Linked DNA regions of Caenorhabditis elegans. The protein of the gene in region 1 purifies or fractionates together with the protein of each later gene. This does not show direct contact. Each region holds a gene or a part of one and is shown on either strand. Other genes may lie near its edges.

The links.
Region 2: the proteins of vab-8 (region 1) and unc-33 purify together in Caenorhabditis elegans (affinity purification with western blotting, with the first as the bait; one study listed by BioGRID). This does not show direct contact.

What each region holds. Positions count from the first base shown.
Region 1 is NC_003283.11:12,211,379-12,216,371, forward strand, and holds the start of vab-8 (Kinesin-like protein vab-8), read left to right. Parts: upstream 1-1,948; 5' UTR 1,949-1,957; coding exon 1,958-2,020; intron 2,021-2,105; coding exon 2,106-2,337; intron 2,338-2,480; coding exon 2,481-2,574; intron 2,575-2,619; coding exon 2,620-2,852; intron 2,853-2,895; coding exon 2,896-3,109; intron 3,110-3,425; exon of another isoform or gene 3,426-3,538; intron 3,539-3,599; exon of another isoform or gene 3,600-3,743; intron 3,744-4,336; coding exon 4,337-4,511; intron 4,512-4,993.
Region 2 is NC_003282.8:3,514,879-3,520,039, forward strand, and holds the start of unc-33 (Protein unc-33), read left to right. Parts: upstream 1-2,007; coding exon 2,008-2,048; intron 2,049-2,099; coding exon 2,100-2,260; intron 2,261-2,314; coding exon 2,315-2,499; intron 2,500-2,561; coding exon 2,562-2,627; intron 2,628-3,196; coding exon 3,197-3,287; intron 3,288-3,396; coding exon 3,397-3,617; intron 3,618-4,577; coding exon 4,578-4,894; intron 4,895-5,161. UniProt on the Caenorhabditis elegans protein: During neurogenesis, plays an essential role in axonal guidance and outgrowth by regulating the polarization of both microtubule and actin cytoskeletons.

The DNA.
Region 1 (4,993 bases):
ACCCTTCTAAAGAAGATGTGGATAGAAAGAAGAAAAGGAAACCAACTCTTTCTATACATTTTACTCATCTTTTCTATTTTCTTTTCTTTCATGTGTTGCGTAAAGATGAACGGAGACTCCGCCCACTTTTTTCGGTTTTCTTATTTTTAGTGTTGTTGTTGTTTTTGTTGTGTCACTCTTGATATGTGGCTTGTACCTACAGTCTTGTAAGTTATAATCTCAAACTTTGACCTTAAAACTCCAAAAAGTTTCAAAGATTCTACCAGTGACCGGATGTTTGAAAAAAGAAGGAAATGTGCTCAACAGATGTGATCACTTCCTTTGGATTCTCCAGATGACTGAATTTTGTATTTTCTTATGTTTCCATTAGATTTAATTTTTAAAAAATGTATACCTGTTTAGTTTCCCGAACCACGAGAAATAATGCAAAATGATTTTTTCATCTATAAGAGCTCTTGTTTTCCTAGTTTCTGGTCATTTGTTTTAACGGTTTTTTTGCCTGACATGATAGATAAAATTTCATAGTTGTTTATTTGTTTGAAAATATCAATTTTCGCAATGAATAATCTAAAAATTAGTATCTCCTGGAGTATACTTACAGTAATCACTATTTTTCTATGATACCCGTTCCTCACCTGATACATCCAACTGTAGTTTCTGTGTTTTACTCTTTTATTAAATTTTGTTTCAAAAAAATGTGTTGCACTATTTTTCTATTCTTTCCCCTGTTTCACGCCCATCACTCGTCTCAAAAATCTTTTCACTACTTTTCTTCTCAACTCAATTCATTCCTAGGGGAGGTCAAATTACCACTATTCTTTCTTCTCACTTTCAATTTCGATTTGCTTTCTTTTCAGAAAATTACTGATATTTTTGAAAAAAAAATTATGATTATTAGTTTTAGTCTTTTTTAGTTGACAGTTTTTGATAGAATTTTTCATGTTATACATTTCTGTTTTTCGATACCAAAAATGTTTACCTAAACTGTCTAGACTTTTGAATTGGGAAATGTGCAATTCACAGATCGACAATAATTCTTTTATAAATACCAGGCGGTTTGTTCACGTGGTACTTTAATGACTTTTGGAACTTGACCCCGTCCAGGGACATAAAACCAAAACTATATTTAAATATCCAAAAGGCAAGACCTTATAATATTCACTCTACCCATTTGCTTTAATTCAAAAAAAAAAGTTCCCACAATGAATGGGTTTGTACGTATCGTTCATCCCCATCGCCAGGGCGTCAGAGAGTTCTCCATTTTCCGATGCAGTGTTGACTCACTTTTTGGCGGGAAATGGTCTTCTTTTCAAATGTTCCCTTTTTGGTACTTTTTGGTGGAAAACTGATGATATCATTTACTCTATTGTCAGACTGTTTCGTAGAATTTTTATGTTTTTTTTGGTTTCCGGTGGTTTTAAAGAATGTCAATTGCACATACGAAGTAACATTTCAACGAGCTGAAAATTCTTCGCGAAAGAGTAAATTTACTACTTCTTTCAATTTTTCTTTCACTTGTATATCTCATCTTATTGAGTAATTATTTGGAGCGTTGTACTACAGTTTAAGCAGAAAAGAGAAGATTTATAGAGCTTTATCATAATTTTTTGTGTAATCAGTTGTGGTCTGTTTCACAATTTTCAAAAAGTTGGCTCCGTGCCAGCAACACTTTCCGTTTTCCCACATTCCACCTCATTTTACTCAATAGGTGTTCGTCGGTAACATGAAAAGACTCATCTACCTCTTTTGATTATTTATGCAGACACGCTTATATGGGCACACACATACACACTTTGATGATAACGGTTTGTCCGTCTTTTATCAGGACTGACCCTTTCCTCCCTCGCAAATTTTTCCCGCGACATTCTTTTTGCTTTTTCTTTGGTTTTTTCTTTGATTTCCGTTGCCCGTTCCTTCCCGAATTGCGGATTAGAATGAATATTTTCAGACCTTATGAATGGAGGCATGCAGCAGTAAGACCTCGCTGCTTCTTCATTCGCCGTTGCGAACGATTCCGAAAGTAAGCTTTTTGTTGAATTATTTGTTTGCTAATTTTTTGGCAAACATTTCTAGTATTCACAGATTGAGATTAACACATTTTTCAGCTTCGACTATGTGCCAGTATAAGCAGTGAAGATGTTGCACATGGTCGGTGCAGTCTCACTGATCAACACTTGCAAATCGAAGGAAAGAACTATTCGAAAACGACATTTGATCATATCTTTAGAACAGATGCTACACAGGATGATATGTATACGGCATTTCTATCGGATACAATAAATTCAGTATTCGCTGGAAATGATGCAACAGTTTTAGCAATGGGAGCTAAAACTAATGGTGAGTAATTATTTTGGAGAGTAACGTTTTCAAATTTGAAGAACTTATACAATTTTCAATTTTTCCTCCATTTCTAATGGAGATACTATTTACGATTACATTAAGAATGTTTTTGAAACTCATCGAATACTAGAAATGTTCAGGAAAAGACGAACGTCTCTACGGGAACAGCGTTTCAAGAAACGGGTTGGTTCAAATGGCCATCACTCAATTAATGAATGCCCTTGATGATAACAAGTAGGTTTCAATGTTCTATATTTCCATTAAATTTCCTATTTCCAGAGATTCGGAAGAACGAATACAAGTTCGAATGTCTGCAATTATGGTGTCACAAAATGAATCTTCAATAGTCGATTTGTTAAGTCCATTCAATCCAGATCCACGTCACCGAGTGGTTAAAATAGTGGATGATGCTCGAACAGGAGTATTTATCGATAATGAGAGTGAAATTCGTGTCGAGACCATTGATCAGGCATTATTTTATTTGAATACTGCAGTGGATCATCGAATGATTCGTGAGTTGAAACATGATCTAAATGTCTTATACACAAGTTTCAGAAGACGAGCATACCCATCGAACAAGCCACGTGTTCATATCACTAAGCTTGTATTCGTATAAAATGGGTGACAAAATGCAAGGAGGACGTCGTCGACTTTGTTTCTTGGATATGGGAATTGGTGAGAGAAATTCAACAAATGGAGGAATGACAATGCCAGCATTAGGGAGTATTCTTTTGGCAATGGTTCAAAGAAATAAACATATTCCATCAAGGTGAGTATTTTGAAGAAATATTTTTTTAAAAAATTGGTCTGCAAATCAAAAGTGTACCTGGAGAAATCTGGAAATACAGCGTTCATAAAACCCTGAATATTCAATTAAAGTAGGAGGACTCGTGAGAATTTTGTTACAATCTACTCACTTTTATTATTTATTACCAAAAAACACAGTTTTGGTGAATTTTAATTTTTCGAGAAAAGTTTAGAGCAATGTGAGAAACAATTGATTTAAAAATCCTAGAAGTTAATCACCAGTCACTGTTTCATCCCCATATTTAAATGGAGCGTTCTAATTTGGCGTCACGTCTGCCTTGTAGGCACTCAAGTAGTCAATTTTTACTAGCTTCTAGTATAAGGAAGATCCATCAGAGTTTCACACATATTCTGCGGTCCTCCCCCAATTTTGTTCATTATGCCCTCTACTTCATCTCAATCAACCTTCATTTACCGGCGGAAAGATTAAGAGAAGATTGTCTAGTCACCCATTTATTTATTACCACTTTTTATTGAACCAGTTGTCGATGGATCGTTATTTGCGCGCGCGGAAGAAGTAGGAGGTGTGTAGGAGAGGGGCGCCGCGCTCTTCCAACATGGATCCTTCAGGACACATCAAAGAGAAGAGCCGCCCACGAGCCACACGAGGGATTAGATGAATTGGTGTCTTTTTTTATTTCACTGTTGAGAGATGGTACCTCCTGATGTTTTTGGTAGAGACAGGAAGAGGCGGTGAAGTGATGACATTTTCAATGAAAAAAAGAGAAAGCAGGGGAAGGGGAATGATGAATATAAAAATCGGGGGATTGTAAGAGTAATGAGAACAGGAAGGTGGACAATGAAAAAAAAAAACATCTCAATTGTTTTATTGCAAGTAGTTGTAATATTTCAACTCGAAAAGTTTAAATATTCAAAATTTGTCCAACTTTTTGCATAAGAAATGACCAATTAATCAATCCATATGCTTTTGTCGGTGAATCTTGCGTTTCCGGTCACCGCCTTCAAAAGTTGCTTGGGCATGCTCCCTTGGGAACGAAATGAATTTTATTTTTCTTTTGACTATCCTCCTTTTCCTTCTTTTTGAATTCTTCGTACCGAGAGAATAAATAACAAATTGCTGCCGCTTCTGCAGAAATAGAGCAGTGGTTCTTAGGGAATTGAAAGTTTGACAAGTGTTAGAATGTGTCAAAGTAGAAGATGTTAAAATGAAATTTTTCCTTTTTTACAGGGACTCGTCAGTGTGTCAACTCATCCGATGTGCATTGAGTACGTCAAGATTCACGACGTTCGTTTTTTCATTTGGTGCCAAGAGTGACGATAACGAGAACATTGCACATTTGGCTTGTAAAATCGCAAGGACTCGAGCAAAGAGTATGGTTGGACATGGAAGGAAGTCATCAGGGGTGAGTTTGAAAACATCAGTTCAGATAATTTATTACTGCTCGCATAATAAAGGTTTTTGAAAACTATTTTAAATTTAAGAATGGCAATATTTCAAAAATACAACAATTCTGAGAATTTATCCAAAAGCTTGACATTTGACAACTGTTTGCCAACTTACCGAAAATTTCACTGCAAATTTCAAAAGTATACAAGTTTTTGGAACATTGTATTCTTTCGTATTTTGAAGAAAATATTCCTACTACTAGTTAAATATTCTTACAATATTCCTACATTTTATTTTCTCTCACGGCACTCTCAAAAAATTCCTAGCGCTCAGTATTTGATCTGGTTGAATTTGGGGAAGTACTGTGCAAAGATATTTTTTTAATAGAAAACTACGATTTTGTAGGCTACTTTTTATCATTCTTTGACCTTTTTCCTCGGTCTCACTTTACGGTAAAATCCGGTCCACCTCTAGCATAACCTAAATATTAATATCGCT
Region 2 (5,161 bases), on another chromosome or scaffold:
GAATTTCTGGATTTATCTCATCAAAAATCCAAATTTCGGCAAAAATTAGCAAGAAGCCAGCAAGAAGATTTTTTCGATTTTTCGTGATACATTAGCGAAAAAAAAACAGAATTTCGACGAAGCCTAGCAAGAAATCTTTGTAAATTAGAAGGAAAAACAGGATTTTGTGCTGATTTTTAGTGAAAATCAGCCAAAAATAGCAAAGAATGGCGGAAGTACTACTGAAAATCAGAAATTTCTCGATTTTTTTTAATCCGCGAAATCCCGAATTTCGACAAAATCTAGTAAAAAATCCCCTAGAAAAAGCAATGAAAATCTCAGTTTTTTGCTGATTTTCTCAAAAAAAATCAACAAAGAACGGAGTATGAGTAATGGAGCATCGGTGGAAAAATCGAAGCCTCTAGAATTTTCTAGATTTTCGTGAAAAATCAGCTAAAAACTCAAATTTCGGGACAAATTCACCAAAAATAGCAGAAAATGGCGGAAGCACTACTACTGTACATAAGGATTTTCTAAATTTTTCATGAAAAATCCGCGAAATCCGGAATTTCGATGAATATTAGTGCAAAATCTCCGAGAAAAAAGCAATGAGAATCTCAATTTTTTGCTGATTTTTCTCAAAAAATCAGCAGAAAAAACGGAGACTGTCATCTTATGATTATTTCCTTTCTTGATGAATCATTGTTTGAAATACCGACACACCACCCGGTGTGTGTTGCGAAATAAACAAATTATTGTGTTCTTTTTCAATATAAACACAGCAATACCAGTTGACCGCGGGCGGTTTTAAACTAAAAAAATCCAATCGGAAAAAGATGCGGGAAATTCGAAAAATTCAGAGCTCCAAGCGATCCCCGATGGATGCTTGTAAATCGATAAATCGGGCGGAAACCTCTCCGGCGGACACATTGTAAGCGAGAGACGAGAGAGCGTCAGAGAAACCAATAGTGACCCCCCTCTGCGTCTCTGACATGGTATTCGTGGAGAGAGAATGAGTCAGAGAGAGAGCCGGAGACGGAGAGAAACACAGAGAACACTCCCCGGAGGCTTTCCGCCGCCGCTTTCGGGGCCATCTCACATCGATTTCGTGCCTTTTTGTGGGGATGGGACAACTTTTCTTTGTTTCTTGATGAGCTTTTTTGGATTGTTTAATTTTCTTCAGAGAGTTGCAAGAAATTTCATCTCTAAAAAATCAGATTTTTTCCTTTTTTCGGAAATTTCAGAATTTTATTTTTAGGTTTTTTATTTAAAGAAAAGTTAGGATTTTTCTTCAAAAATTTCTGAATTTTTTCTTTTTTTTGTCAATTTTCTCTAGAAAGCAGCCAGAAAATTGATCTCAATTTTGGAAATTCACTGGAAAAAATTCGTGAAAATTTTAGAAATTTCTACAGCTTTCTTATTTTTTAAATACAAACAATTTTCTCTGTTTTTTGATGTGAAATTTAGTTTTTTTTCAATTTTGGAGCATTTTTTGGGTTTTTGAAGATTTTTTTCTTTCGATTTGCAAAAAAATCGATTTTCTAAGAAAAAAAACATTAGAAAAACTAAAACATTATTTTTTGAAAATACAATATTTTTGTTGTATTTTTAGATTTTTTCCTGCAGGAATAAGATTTTTAGTCTCGTGAGAGAATTCACACTAAAAATTGCTAAATTTACATAAAATATGTGTAAAAAGCCATTTTTTCCGTAGAAAAATTTCAAAATTTATGAATTTTTCTTTAAAATTTGATTAAACCCCTGAAAAACCACTGGAAATTTTGTTTTTTCCCCTCGAAAGTTCCCCCAAAGTCACATTTTGCAAATTTCTAAAGAAGATTTACCACCGCAATTACCATAGTTAATCCGAAAATTGAAATTTTCCCGTCTTTTTTCCTCCAATCTTCATTTTTACCTCTTTTTAACCTAAAAATAATTGAAAAAACCCAATTTTTCGTTACAGAAAGCGCGCAAAATACACATTTATCACTAGAGGAGGGCCAAATAGTTGGCGGACATCACTGGAAAATGTTCCCGTTTTTAGCACCAATTCGATCAGCAAATCATGTGTAAGTTTTGCGTTTTCCGTGGTTTTTTTTTCCAATTAAATCCAATTTTAGAGAGCAACAAGGCACAAAGTACTACGTAGAAATCACATTTCTAGCAGATTCTCCATATTCTAGAGCTCCATCGAGCACTGGCACCGAGAAATCTGTAATTCCAACGCTCAGGAATCTGGATGACCTGGAGACTGTTTCTAATAAAAGTAGGAGTAGTGAAGGTTAGATTAGTCACGTTTTCCCGTAATTTTAAGCGAAGTTTTTGCCCAATTTAGGAGTGAATAAGCTAGGGAGCCGTCCGAACAGCCGAAGCTCGGCAATTGTTAAAAAGACGAGTGTGTCCTCACTGCCAACGTCGGCCCGATCCGAAGGAAAATCCTCTCCGATTCCGGTTAAAGATGCGATTCCGGCTCCAGCGCGGCACAAGAACAAGGGTCTCGAGATGTCGTCGGCAATGATGGTGGGTTTCCCGTTTAAAAAATCAAAATTCTAGCAAACTTGGTGAAAAATCGAATTTTCTAGGAGCTATTTGGTGGCGGAGGCAGCACGTCACCAGCGCCATCAAAACGAGAAAACCCAGCCGACGCGGTGAGTTTAAAAATTTTTCTAACTTCTAATGTCGCAGGATACGAAAAGTCGCAATGTTCAGGGCAAAACCACGTTGATTTACGAAAAATTTGATAAAAACTTGTGTTTACAGTAAAAAATTCTAGAATAAATCGAAAACATCCCGGAAAGAAAGAAGAAAAAATGAAAAAATAAAATAAAATAGAAAAATAAATTCAAACGTGTCCTACAGTAATCTTTGAAGGCGCATCACAATTTATATAGTCCAGGTTTCGCCACGAAAATTGTTTTTCTTTAGTTTTTAGGATTTTTGCCATTATTTCTAATGTTTTCTTGACTTTATATGTTAAAATAATTTTTATATTCCAATTTTCATTAATTTTTTATGTCAAATATACCAAAAACCAGGCAAAACTCTCTTAAACCTTCATTATCAACTACCGTAACTTTAAAGGTACACATCACTTTGCGAAACGTGGGTCTCGACGAGTTTTGTTTTTTTTTAGTTATTTTTTTGAAATTTAAAAGCCCAATTTTTGTAATTTCTAACCGATTTTCCTGCAATTTTCTTCAATTTTTTTGATTTTCAGCCATCCGATCGTGTTGTAAGCAATGCTAAACTCTCTCAGCCTGGCCCAGAATGGTTTGAAGGGTTCGAACAGATGGATATGACGGATATTGGTGAGAAAATCAGATTTTTCGAGAGAATTTGTGGTTTATAAGCCACAAATCTGTGTTTAAAACCATTAAAAATGTAGAAAATAAGTATTTATTGCAGAATTTTTTACAGAACTACCCCCCGACCCGAACTGCCCGGCGGAAAAGGTGTTGCGCGGAGAAAAATCGACGCCAGACTTCGATTCGGATTGGCAAGAAGCGAAAGAAGACGTTTTAGATCCTCAAAGCTACCCGAAAAGCTTCAACCCCGCCGAATCGCTTCCCGGTCCAGATATTGGCGCCGGCGTTGACGATGAGGAAGAGCCTGAGGCTGAAGCTCAAGAAATGGAAGAGGTTCGTGATTTATTCACGAGTTTTCCCATTTTTCTGTGTCCTTTCCATCAATTTTTGATATAGTTTAGCAAGTTTTTCGCGGCGTTTTGTTTGTTTGTGACGGAGGGAGAGAGAATTGTTTGAACAGATGTCACCTGGAGAACAATTAAAAAATTAATGTTCACTGTAATTGTTTGAAAAATCGCGAAATTTTGAGCAGAAAAAAATAGAAAAATGGTGAGAAATTCAGAAATTTCAGTGACAATTATAGGTTAAATGAATTTTCAGATTTTTTAAAAGAAAACCCCGATTTCAGGCAATTTGTTCCTAAAATAGAAATTAAAATCTAGTTTTTTTCCACATTATTGAGCAATTTTTGCTCCAACTGCCAATTATATTGCACTTTTGTTAATTTTCCAAGCGATTTTTAGTTAATTTTTTTCTCTAAAAAGCTCTAAATTTCCTAAAGCTGTCAATTTTTTTGCAAAAAGTGTAATTTTCCACTTTTCGTGGCAATTTTCAATAATTTGGCTCTAAAATAACGTTTTTAACACAAGAAAAGTCAAATTTTTCACAATTTTGAAAATTAGCTCTAGAAGTACAGTATTTTGCAGCAAAAAGCTCTTTTAATACAAATTATAAATTTCAGGCGATTTTAGCCTGAAAAATCTCCAAAAAAGCTCAAAATTTACTATAGAACTGGTAATTTTTATTGCAAAAAGCTTATTTTTACAACTTTAAGAGTGATTTTTTTCAACCAATTTCCCCAATTTTTTCAGCCAATTTTCTCTCTAAAAGCCCTAAAAATAGCAATTTTCAGGCAATTTTAGCTTGAAAATGGCAAAATTTAAACATAAAAGTGTTAATTTTCTATGTTTTTACCCAATTTTTACTCTAAAAAGCTTTAAATTCCTATAAAATTGTCAATTTTATTGCAAAAAGCTTCTCTTTTCTTCATCCTTTATCTCTTACTTTCTCCAGCCTCAATACGAATCGAAAGTGGACGAAAAAGACGACGACGACAATGGCTCTTCTTCCTCCAAAAAGGGTCATCCTTCCGAAGACGGAGATAGTACAAGAAATGGAGAGACGCCGACAGACCGACGAAATAGTGGGGCGATTGAAGAGACGGCAGACGGTGAGAGCTCTGCGCAGTCGGCTGCTGAGAAGAAGAATAGTGGAGACGACGGCAACGGAGGCGGCGGTGAAATGTCGATTTTGCTCGTCAAAAATGCTCAAATTGTCAATGACGATGCGATTTTTGTAGCTGATATTCTGATTGAAGATGGAATTATTCAGTAAGTCGGATTTTTGAGTTGAAAATTGAATTTTTCGGTCAAAAATTGACCTCTTTAATCGGAATTTTGAGCAATTTTAGTCCAGATATTGTGAATTTTCGTAAGATTTTTGTGATTTTCAGCTAAAATTTGTGAATTTTTATGAAGTTTTTTTGCATTTTTAGCCCAGAAACTGAATTTACCGCGAATTTTAAAATTTTCATTTACAAATTGTGAATTTTCATGAGATTTTTGTGATTTTAAGAAACAAAAAAGCGAATTTCAAGA